2 linked regions of the Drosophila melanogaster genome follow. The protein of the gene in region 2 interacts with the protein of the main gene of each other region in a pairwise test. Each region holds a gene or a part of one and is shown on either strand. Other genes may lie near its edges.

The links.
Region 1: the proteins of fan (region 2) and gdrd interact in a two-hybrid assay, tested with the Drosophila melanogaster proteins (one large-scale study listed by BioGRID).

Annotation. Positions count from the first base shown.
Region 1 is NT_037436.4:14,689,499-14,692,462, reverse strand, and holds gdrd (goddard), read right to left. Parts: upstream 1,117-2,964; 5' UTR 1,035-1,116; coding exon 693-1,034; 3' UTR 501-692; downstream 1-500.
Region 2 is NT_037436.4:8,105,163-8,113,345, reverse strand, and holds fan (farinelli), read right to left. Parts: upstream 4,215-8,183; 5' UTR 4,069-4,214; coding exon 3,412-4,068; 3' UTR 3,303-3,411; downstream 1-3,302. Other genes in the region: Nulp1 (nuclear localized protein 1), read right to left, coding at 174-334, 632-852, 908-1,234, 1,302-2,168, 2,240-2,616, 2,692-2,847; Sarm (sterile alpha and armadillo motif), read right to left, coding at 4,623-4,707, 6,397-7,330, 7,689-7,906, 8,050-8,183.

The DNA of each region.
Region 1 (2,964 bases), 6.6 Mb from region 2:
TTAATGCCGCTGCAACGGCATTTTATGGCAAATTATGTTTGGCTTCATTTCCACTGATAAGTATCGGACTTCAGCTTTCTGTCGAAATTTATCGCATATAATACGTTTTGCCAATATCTCGAGCGGCAGACGACGAACTTGAAGAATGTCCTTTCTTATTTATTGCTTTTAACATATTTGTTTGGCTCCAAGGCAATTCGTCTTTCTATGTGAATGTGGCGAAAGGCAAATGCAAATTTCAGTCTCAAATTTTCCGACTTTGCAAAGTTTTCGACAAAACAAAAGGCCCCCTGACAATATGCAGCTGCTCGAAATTGCTTGGGGTAACATTTTTGAAGGGCGGTCAATGAAAAGTTTATTATGCGCCGAAAAGAAGTCCACAAAGTTTGTGGACCGAATGAAAGCAAGTTTGGCAATTGTGTGTGGAGGGCCACTAATAAATTGCAAATATCGTTGAAAATAGTTTAGATTATGGCGATAAGGGCAGTATACAATGTATTGCTTTTGCTCATTGCTCAGTTTATTATATGCGCTTAGTTTTCGAATCCTTGGCTTGTGTTAATGCATAATTTTTTAACAATTAACTCGGGTCTGTTTGTGATTTGTTAAATGGGCTTCAATAACAATAACAATAAATAAATACAATAAATTTATACATTTTTGAAAATGAGAAATATAAAAATGTTCTTATATCATTGGTTGGTGGTTTCGTTTTCTTGTTCGACGTTTTCAAATCGCATTGGATTATCGCCTCCAGCCAACTGGTCGGCGTTTTCGCCAACAGGTACGGATGGAATTCGAGCATGGAGCTTCCTCTTCATCTGGACCACGGCAGAGTTGGCCATGCTAATGCGATTAATGATTCGGTTCAGACGCTCCTGAATGTTCGAGAATACCTGCTCGGAGAAGCGAGCGTCCTCAGAGGTATCGAGAGGCCCCACTGCAGTTGCTTCGTCACTATTGTTTTGGCTACCTTCTGTATAGGGCTCGTAGCTTTCAAGGTCTTGGAATATATCAGATCCGTCGTCCGACATTTTGACAAAAAAAATATATTTCAGAAATTTCAATAGTTATTCAGGAGCTGTGAACTAGAACAGACTTAAGTGCAAACAGATCAAAGACAGAATTTATACTGACAACAAAATCGAGAGCAGCATGTTTGATATAGTAACTCTATACAATAAACAATAGTATTAATCCAAACTCCATAAATATGAGTAGATGGTCACAACGTTGAAACATTTTTAATTAAGCGACACATCAAACTATATTTTTTATTTAAAACCAACGTTTTAATTATCTTCAAAATTAAGAATAGACGGATTTAAAACCTCTTAAGAAATCGCAACCCACTTGGCATGTAATCATGTGTGAAATGTGTTCAGCAGGGTCATAAAATCAGAAATCAATTAAAGCAATTTAAGAGCGAGGAGAGCAAACGATACGGATATGGATGTCGAGAGTCGAAAGTTGCCAGGGCACAAGGCAAATAAATCTCTGAAACGACTCTGCCAAAAAGGACGCACTTTGGGTGGCAGTGAGGATAAAAGTTTCCCCACAGCTGAACGAGGCGAACGAAATCAAAGTCTATAACTTAACGACTGCAATGAGAATGATGCTGATGACGATGTCGACGATGTGAAACGCCCTCAAGGTCCACCCCATTCCGTCCACCCGTTCCACCCACAGCCCGCCACCATTCGAGGAAAATCCGTACGCAGAAAAAGAGAGACAAAAGCCGAAAAGGGAGGAAATGCAGCATTCATTCTCTCGCCATTTTCCCCTTAACCCTCCCCTTTTCCCATGGCTCTTTGCCATCATTCTTTCAGTGAGTTTTTCGCCTCCATGTGCTAAATATTTGCCAGCCATTTCTTTATTTTTCTCTGGCCTTTGTCGCCAAACTGGATTCCCATCTTGATACCCATCGCTCTGCCACATCGTAATAAAGCAATAAATCTGCTGAGGAACTGCTCCTCATAAATTCCGTTACGCATAAAAACACTTACAAATGACTTTTTGTTCAATGGAATAAATGGCATGGCACTACACACATACTAAGATGTATATATGGAGCTGTAGCTGCGAATGCATGTTCATGACTGCACCAAGTTAAATTCACACACTTGGCTTTCTATATCTTCCGGGATTCGCTGAATCCTCTATTGATAATGCCATTTGGCATTTGGCTTGTGGCAAGGCTTTGACTTTTGCGACGTCTTTCACTTTATGGGCTTTCTATTGAAAACTCGTTGCGCTGCTAAGTAGGCAACATTTTTCAGCTCGCTCTAGTTTGTTCGCTTGTATCTTCGGGCGTAATAAACTACGGGATAAATTAAGTTTTTGTAAATAAGTGTAGGAATCTGGTGAAAAAATGTTGTAAAGAAATCCTGTCACTGAAGTTAAATTACAAATTAAAAATAAAATGTACTCGGAATAAATAAATAGTTGATTAAGAAATATAAGAAAGCCATACGTTTAATATTTAATATTTACAATACCCAACTCATTATATGTTATAACAGTTAAAGCTCTGTTTTTTATATTTCACAGAATCATAACATAAAACTCGTTACGAGTTTTATCGACATTTTTTTACGCACATATTTCACATTAAATATTTAAAATAACAGCTCGCGATCAATCTAAATTAGTAGAGATGTACATATGAAAAAACCCTCTAAATCCCTACCCTTGTTTATGCCAAGTGGTCTCATGCTGTTGCCTAATCTGCTGTCCAAATCACTCTTGCAACATGTTGCACGACCAACTAATTGATGATATAATTGAATGTTCAGAGACCATTTCCCAGTTCGTTAGGCTCTGGCTCTCCACAAACCATATCCCATATCAGGAACAACATCTGTCAGACCCATCACAATAAATAACCATATAGTTATAGTTGAGTTTCCTGCATTAAAACGCCATCAAGCTGGAGATTAATGTGAAAAGGTCACGCCCAGCTCC
Region 2 (8,183 bases):
ATAAGTTACATATATATATTTTTTTGTGTTCAAATTGCTCTATGTATTGTATATATAAATTTTGTGACGGTGTCGCTAAGCTGAGAAAATAGCAAAAGGTGGTTTCCAAAAAACATGTCCCGAGCTAGAAATCCGAAACAACTTCGTTACGCCTCGCGTAATTGACAAACTGACTAGTCAATGTAGTCACTGGAGCCCTCCTCCTCGTCGTTGCTGCTCGTGGATTGTGCCGCCGCCGTTTCCGGCGAACGCAAGTGCTCTGCAATCCGGAAGTTTTGCAGGAAGTCTCGCATCGCGTCCATCATTAGCGTTAATGACTGCTGCAAACCAGCTTCTGCAATAATGTTGGAGGAGAAGTGTAACTACGATATCCGCTAGCGATTCTTTTGGAATTTCAGCATAATTTTAGGTTAGATTTTTGACGATTTTAAGAATGAGAAACAAAATATCGCTTTTAGCCAAGTTATTGAAACAAAAGCCAAAGCTTTAATACAATTTCGGGATATGAACGAAATTAAGCAAAGCCATAATACAACCAGCGAAACATATTCTAAGATTCATGCTCTGTGACGAAACGGGGGCGACAAAATCGGTTTTATCTCAAGATATTTTTAATAATGCTCATACGAACCTTCTCCTTCGCCAGCTACGCCGGCAGCTCCTTGTTCAATGCCCACTTCAATGTTAGCATCGCCTGCAGCTGCTCCCGCACCTGCTGCTGGTGCTGCTCCTTCTTGTAGCTGAGCATTTGCAGCTAGGTTGTTAATGTTAAACGAAGGCAAGAGCGATTGAAAGAACATTGACACAGAATTGTTCGTGTTCGTTGTGGGGCTGCTGCTTGACGAAGATTTTCTGCAAGTACTGGTTTTTAGAATTTACTAACTTTGAGCCGATTCGAACGACATACCGATGATAGCAGTTGACGCTGTTCGGTGGCGGCAGTGGATCATAGGTCATAATGGCTTGCTTCTCCTTGGACACGAAGACCGCCAGTGGAACTTTCTCCTTGTAATCGGAGAGTATGACATGTCGAAGAATGGGCCTTGGTGGTGTTCCACTATATCGCAGTGATCGCTTCTCCTTGTACTCATTAACCAGGGGATCCTTACTCTCAATGCGATCTAACACTATGTTCACGTTGGATTCCAACCAGGGTAGCACCTCGTTCTGACGCCAAACGACTCTTGCACGGCACACATACAGGCACACCAGCTGGTGCAGGGCGGGCGATTGACTGGTAAACAAGATAAGACATTAAATTCCATACCACTAATCATTCACGGAGATAAGACTCCACTTACTTGCCCGACACATCTGCAAAGAAGTACGATGAGGCCAGGACCCTCTTGTCCGTTTGCACCGACATCTCGTCCAAAAGAGGACGTAAAACACCCGGGAACATTAGTAGGGCGTATTGCAGTGCCTGGTTAGAGCGTTCACAAGCGCCATAGAGCGTGTGTAGAGCCAAAGCATACGAGTAGGCCATATTGGGCAGCTGATTGAGGTTCCTCGCGGCGTTATACTTTTCATAGAACTCTACCAACCATTCAAACTGCTTGCTGCGCAAGGCATAGTAGTCAATCACTAGAATCATGGCAAGAGGATCTGTGTCTGGCTGAAGACTCAGGAGCAGTTTGGAGATCTCGAAGGCGGTGCGGCTGCAAGCTCGTTCCTCCAGGTACTGCGCGTGCTTGAACAGCACGATGTAGAAGGATCGGTTTTCCTGTCTCCGGTAGTCCAGTCGGCAGTTGCCCGACGTCAAACTGAAGTTGATGTGCAGCGACGATTCCAGAAGGAGAAGGGCGCGCTCAAGCAGTTCGGAGGCCAAGGAAAAGTCTTCGGTCATCTTGCATACTTCGCTGAGTTGAACCAAGGAGTCGACATGATAGGGGCAGCGTTTGATAAGTGTGATCAGAAATTCCGAGTCAATGCGCTCGAGAGCAGAAAGGAACATTTGCTGCACTCCCTGGTAGTATTGGCTATGCTCAAAGGCAAACCATTGAACGTCCGCTCCATTATCTGTGATAGACTTGGAGGACACCGATGGAGAGTCTGGGGCGGGCAGCAGCTTCATCGTGATGGTGTTTTTAGTCAGTGCCGGCCACGAATCCTTGGCGGTCACCATATAGGTGGACTTCAGCGTGGGCTTCTGCCTGCCACGCTTGGTTCTGAAAGAAAGTTTGATTGCAAGAGTTAAGTTTCAGAATGGAAGTTCTTAGCCCAGGCACTCCAAACTTACTCCACTTTTACCACCCGCTTGCCAAAAGTGCGACGCATCTCGTTCTGTGGATTCAGGTGCCGTAGCTCTACGGCCAGCAGTTTCTTGGTGGCAGTAGTCCCGGTGGCAGCCGATACCAACTGTTTCGCCGACTGTCTGGGCACCGCATCGTAGACCTTGCCAAGGAGCGGATCCACCTTCTCAAAGTACTTATCCTGACGCTCGTTATCTTCGCTGCTGATGTGATTCCCACTGGACTTGGCCTTCTTCTTGCGCTTCTTTTTCTTCTTTTTGGCCGCACTGGCAGTAGCATTGGGCAGGGCAGCAGACGGATGCTCCGTTTCATTGTCATCTTCTTTGAACTCACTCTCCGAGAGACTCAAACCGGCTTGATTGAGCTAGAAAATTTGTGGGAACGGAGGATTATGCAGTTCATTCGGTGATGAGCTGGCTATTTTTTAATAGCGGCCTACCAAATCGAATGGATTAAGGTGTGATTTTCGATAGCGTTGCATATCGCTGTCCTCCAGTTCATCATTGTCGCTCAGCTCCTCGCAGTCCTCGTCATCGGGCGGTGGCGCCAGCTTGTCAGCGTCGCCCTGCAGCTTCTTCAGCATTCGCGCAGACATCCTTCAAGTGTCCTTATACCCCTTAGCAGGAATTCTATTTAATTTCGTCGCAAAATACGTGTGTATTTCGCTGTTTTTTTTTTCTTCACCACATTCGCTTTCGCACGGCTGCAGGGTTGCCGAGCTCTGTGGCCACGCGCGCTTCACAGCACTGGCCTAGACAGGTGGTCCCGTCTTGGCGGGAATTGAAAAAGAAGTTCTAAATTTTAGCAAGTGCTATACACCTATACGCCTTGCCTGTAGAAGTTGGATCAAACTTGACGTGTTATTCACAGAAATTTTAATAAGTTTACTTTTTGTCTCTTCATAAAGTGAAATAGGAAAAAGCATTTTAAATTGTTTTGAAAAAATTTATTTTTATTCGACATTTCCTATTTTAAACTTATTTACTTCTAGTAAAGTGAGAATATAACATCTTACGCATTTATTGGTATACAAGCATAAACTAATTATCTATCTCAAAATAGAATATGCAACCAAAATGTCCTTTATTGACAAATAATTTTCGTACAATTTCGGTGCAATTTACTGCCTTATGTTCTAAAAACTGCCATGATAAGGAATTTACAAACGAGTCTTGCCATAATAGGCGCCTGCGACAGCGGACAGTATAATGATTACTATGGCGGCCATGTAGAAGAAAGTGCGCCCAATCGCCTGGTCACGCAAGCCGTCGATCTGGTCTGTGAGGGCCATATGCTCGTCCTCCAGCATGCTGACTTGCTTGAGCAACTTGGCCATTGGCTCACTGACTTCCTGGGCATCAAAATGGACCTCTCCGTCCTTGTTGTCCGTGGATATTACAGCTGAACCTCCCGCCTGACGGAAATCGTCCTCCTTCGAAGGGACTAGCTCACATTTGATCTTGGTTTCCCGAGTTTCATTCGGGTTCTGCATCTTCCAAAACTCCTGCACATCGCTTATGTCACCAGTCACCTCGGCGGCCAGGAGAAGGAACTTATGACGCTTCTTTATCTGCTCCTGCAGAATTGGCTGCATGAATATGTCAACGCTGACCTTCTGCTCGGGCCCCAAGACACCGATGTTGGGGCGTACATAAAAAAGTTTTGGAGTGGTGGTCTTCATCTTGAAGGCCATTCGCTGGGTCTTACTGGTGTTCTTGATGACTAGCTTCCTGCTCACCGAGCGGTTGAATGGTCCCTCAAAGACGATCACATCGCACGGGTCTAGCGCAAGTTTGCTCTCGGTATTGTCGGACATATTGGAATATTTGTACCTTTTTATTTTTCAAAAAATCGGAAGCGATATGAACTGGAACCGATTATGACCAATATATGAAAAAATGTGGTACCAAATGAACACGTTCCCTGACAATGCCGTAGTGCAAATGACAGAAAAAGGAATGTGAAACTTTCCATTTCAGGGCTGAATTGAGTTCACATATTGCTTGATTTCGTATGAATTCAACTTTTCTGGTGTGGACACACTGGTCGGTTTTGAAAGTCATATGCGCAGCATCACTATTATAGATTGCAGCTATTAGCTTATGTTGCTTAAAGGAATGTCTTAAAAGCTATATTTTAGGCTAATTTCATAAATTATATACAAACCTGTCTTTAAATAATGTTCAAAAACTTTTTAGAACTTTTGCAAATTGTAGTTTTTTGTATTTGTAAGTTCAAGATGTTTAGATAACAACATGATTTCGAGTTTCAGATCGTTCGTTTTATTTGTTTTTTGTTTTATTAAATATTTACAAAAATTCGATACGTTTGTGTGACTGAATGTGTGTCAGGTGGGGGATGGTCCATCATTTACCAAAATATCATGCGCCCGGCATTGGGGGAGGTGGCCTTGGACAGAATGATGCCCGAAAGTTCCTCGTCCTCCATTTCGTTGCTGTTTCGAGTGGGAGGAGGTATGGGTAAGATACAAATTAAAAAATGTTTGACAGGACTCTTTCGATTTATGCAATTATATACACGTTTATTGGTATCGCTATTTGCTTTGATTGCTTTCTTTCTTTTTTTTGTTGCTTGCTTGGTAATAAATAACAATGAATGTTGGTTGTCGAGACGGCGGATGCTGAGTGTAGGCATCGTATTAATCTCACGGTGTGCGATGATGGGTTTTTCGAAATCGAAATCGATTCGATTTGGTGGGTGGGTGCTTTTGTGGGCGGGGGCAGTACAACAGGCACAACGATAACAACAGTTACAACGGATTGCGGTAGCCAATTTCGCTTTTATGGTCTACAAAAAAGTCCGGATATAGAGAAAGAAAGAGGGAAGAAATAAAAGTGATAAGATATATACAAATAAAACATTTCGAATTCCATTAAAGGCACAAACACAAATTCAAATGCAGAACGCAATACAAACATTGAACAAAACGTATAATATCGGTACATGCGATTGATGATATAGTATGGACTGATTAAGCAGGGGAACAGGGCTAAATAGGGCCAATAATACACATTTAGTTTGAATTAAGTCACATTTTATTTCCTTTTTTTTTTGTATGTATTTCGATTTTTTCGGCTTTCGTATTTAACTTTAGGCACTATTTAAATATTAAATATATATTGCAAAAATCAATAAAAATATGCCTTAAAAACTCCTGCGCTAAAAATTAGGTTTGTACAGCATGTTTTGTTGTAAAAATTTTGCATTAAGTAAATTTCGATTATACGTAGTTTAAATATCACTTATGTAAATATTTTCGTTTTAAGCCACACGGGTTAATTTTAAATTTTGCAATTTTTAGTTTACGTTTTGCGGACGGTTACAAGAACATGTTGCATTCGCGAAAAATGTACAAATTTTTAAACATATTATTTATAAATAGCATTTTAAATATAGAGTGTTTTCGCTCTCCAATATATTTTTGTTTCTTGTAGTGTTTAGAATTAGATGGTTTCTGTTTTGTGTTCTATAAATTAGGTTTCGTATTTATGCAGTCGTTAATTGTATTTTTCTTTTCATAAATTAGTTTTCGCAATTTAAATTCGCTTACTTATTTTTCAATAAAAAAATAATTATCAAAATCAACAACTAATCACAAGGCAAATAGAGTTTGAAGATATAGAAATTGGCGGGGGAGGGGCGTTCGTATATATTTTTTGGGCAACGCAGGCGAGTTTTAGTGGATGCTTAGCGAAACGAGTCAACGAGTGGCGAGTAAAAATAGCGAACGAGTACCAACACCAGAGAAAGAGAAGTAGAGTCAGCGAGTGGAGGTAGAAAGGTTGTAAGGGTCCCCAGGGGGTGGATGAATGCGTGATTGGATGAGATTCTTTTTAGATGGCACAAATGCAGCGAGTGGCGAGAAACGGGTTAACAGGCACTTAGTGGGCGATTGGCGAGTAACTAGAAGCACCTTTTCACAATCTGATTTCTTTCGAAGTAACATCTGAAATCTTTTATCCGAAGCGTTACCAGTTAAATTTAGATGAAGAAACTTAGTGGTGAAATCAGATCGTGAAATGATGGATAACAGTAATATTGAGCAGATAGCGAGTGACGAGCGACGAGTGGGGACATCGAGTCCCGGTCCATCTCGTCTCTCTGCCTCCTCGTTATGGCTTACTTTTTTATCAGCGAGCGGACCTTCTTCATCGTTCGATTAAATATCGTCTTGTTGTTTCCTCCGGCACTAAAGTTGGAGCCCAGTGAGGAGTTGGAGGTCTTGTTGCTGGTCAAACTGGCTCCCCGATGAACCGAGGCAGATGCCCTCTGTTGGTTGCCATGTCGCAGACATTCTTCTGGCTGATCCTCCCGCTCGCTTTCCGTCGCACTCACACCCTCAGGACTCTGGCGTTCCCTTACCCTTTCCATCGCTGGTTGCGGAGGTCTTTCGGGAGTGGGGGATTTCGAGGAGGAGCTGGTGTCCCTTCGTTGGGGCTGCGGGGTCATTGGAATGGCCAGGTTTTGCATACTTTGCGTTCCATCTGCGAGTTCGCTACTCGGTGGAAGCAGCTCTGCTAAAGTCTGTTTGCTGAGAATATGATCCAGACTTCGGGACTTTCTGTGCTGCTGTACATTTCCCGGTGGGGATAAAGTATGCTTGTCACGCCGGGTCACCGAGTCATTGAGGGCGGCATCCGTCACCTCTTCTTCGGGCTGCAGAGTGCTTGTGGAACTGGCGTTCGTTAGAGCTGTACTACCCGCTGTCACCTTGGCCGCAGCTGCTGCTATTCTTTGCTCTGGAGTTGAGCCCGCCTGATCTAGAAGCCCATCCACACTGTGCGATCGATAGCCACTGCCCATGCCGGAACCAGATCCATGACCTAATCCCGCGGCGGAACTCCTCCGCGGAGGCAGATACGCCAATGGCATCATATTCTGCATGGACGCGGAACCCGCTCCGGTTTTGTGGAGCAGGGCTGCCTGTTGGGTGCGATACGGGGTGAGGATTTGGGAGCGTTTCGAGGGCGCCCGAGAATAACCACTCAACTGCGAGGTGCTGCCCCTTTGGCGGGCCGGTGAGGGAGATTGGCGGTACCTATTTGCCTGGTGATTAGCTGCGCATGAGACGGCGTTTCAAGCGATTTCGAGTGTGTGGCAATCAGAATTAAATCAATTATTAATTGGTAAGAGTAAAGAGTAATGGATAGTGTAGTTGTAATGGGTTGCTTGAGTTGAGTGAGAAAGTAGTAGGTGTATGGGTGGGGGTAGAAAGTGAGAGAGAGTTGTACTAGAGAGTGTGACTTGAGGATCTCTGCTTAAGCCTAGAACATATTCGAGTTGGCTAGCTCTGTAAATCGTTAGCATAACTTGGCTCACTCTACGCTGGAGCCGCTGGGGGACTCTGGTTAGAGCTTGAGCTTGAATTTGAGTTGGGAGTAGAAGAAGTAGTAGATGTAGTACTCGTTGGCCCACCTTGTCCGCTGCCATTGGCCGCCACCATCAGGCCATCCACCACACTGCCCGTAACGCCGCCACCACCTCCTCCTCCAGTTCCTGCTCCTGATCCGGCGCCTGCTCCTCCGCTCTGGTAGTCGGAGTCGTTGCTGTGCATTCTTTGGTATGAGACCGAACCGGGGGTGCCGGGCACCATCGCCGCAATGCGATCGATATTCTTTTCGCCGCGCAAAAATCTGCCGCATCAGAAGAATGGGAATCGTTTAAGTGTTTAGTTGTGAAGTATTCTGGGTTATTCAGGCTTAAGGTAATCGGTAATGGAGTTATCCATCGTCCTAGTCCCAGGCTAATCCAGATCTAAATGCGTCGCTTAATGTACCTTTCGAGCTTATCGATGCATGCGTCCTGGTAGTCGTGGATCCAATTAACACCGTTAAAATGGGCCACACTGCGCATGTCCTCGGGAAGTCGCTCCACCTCGGGCCAATCGAATTGCTGGTCTATGATGGGTAT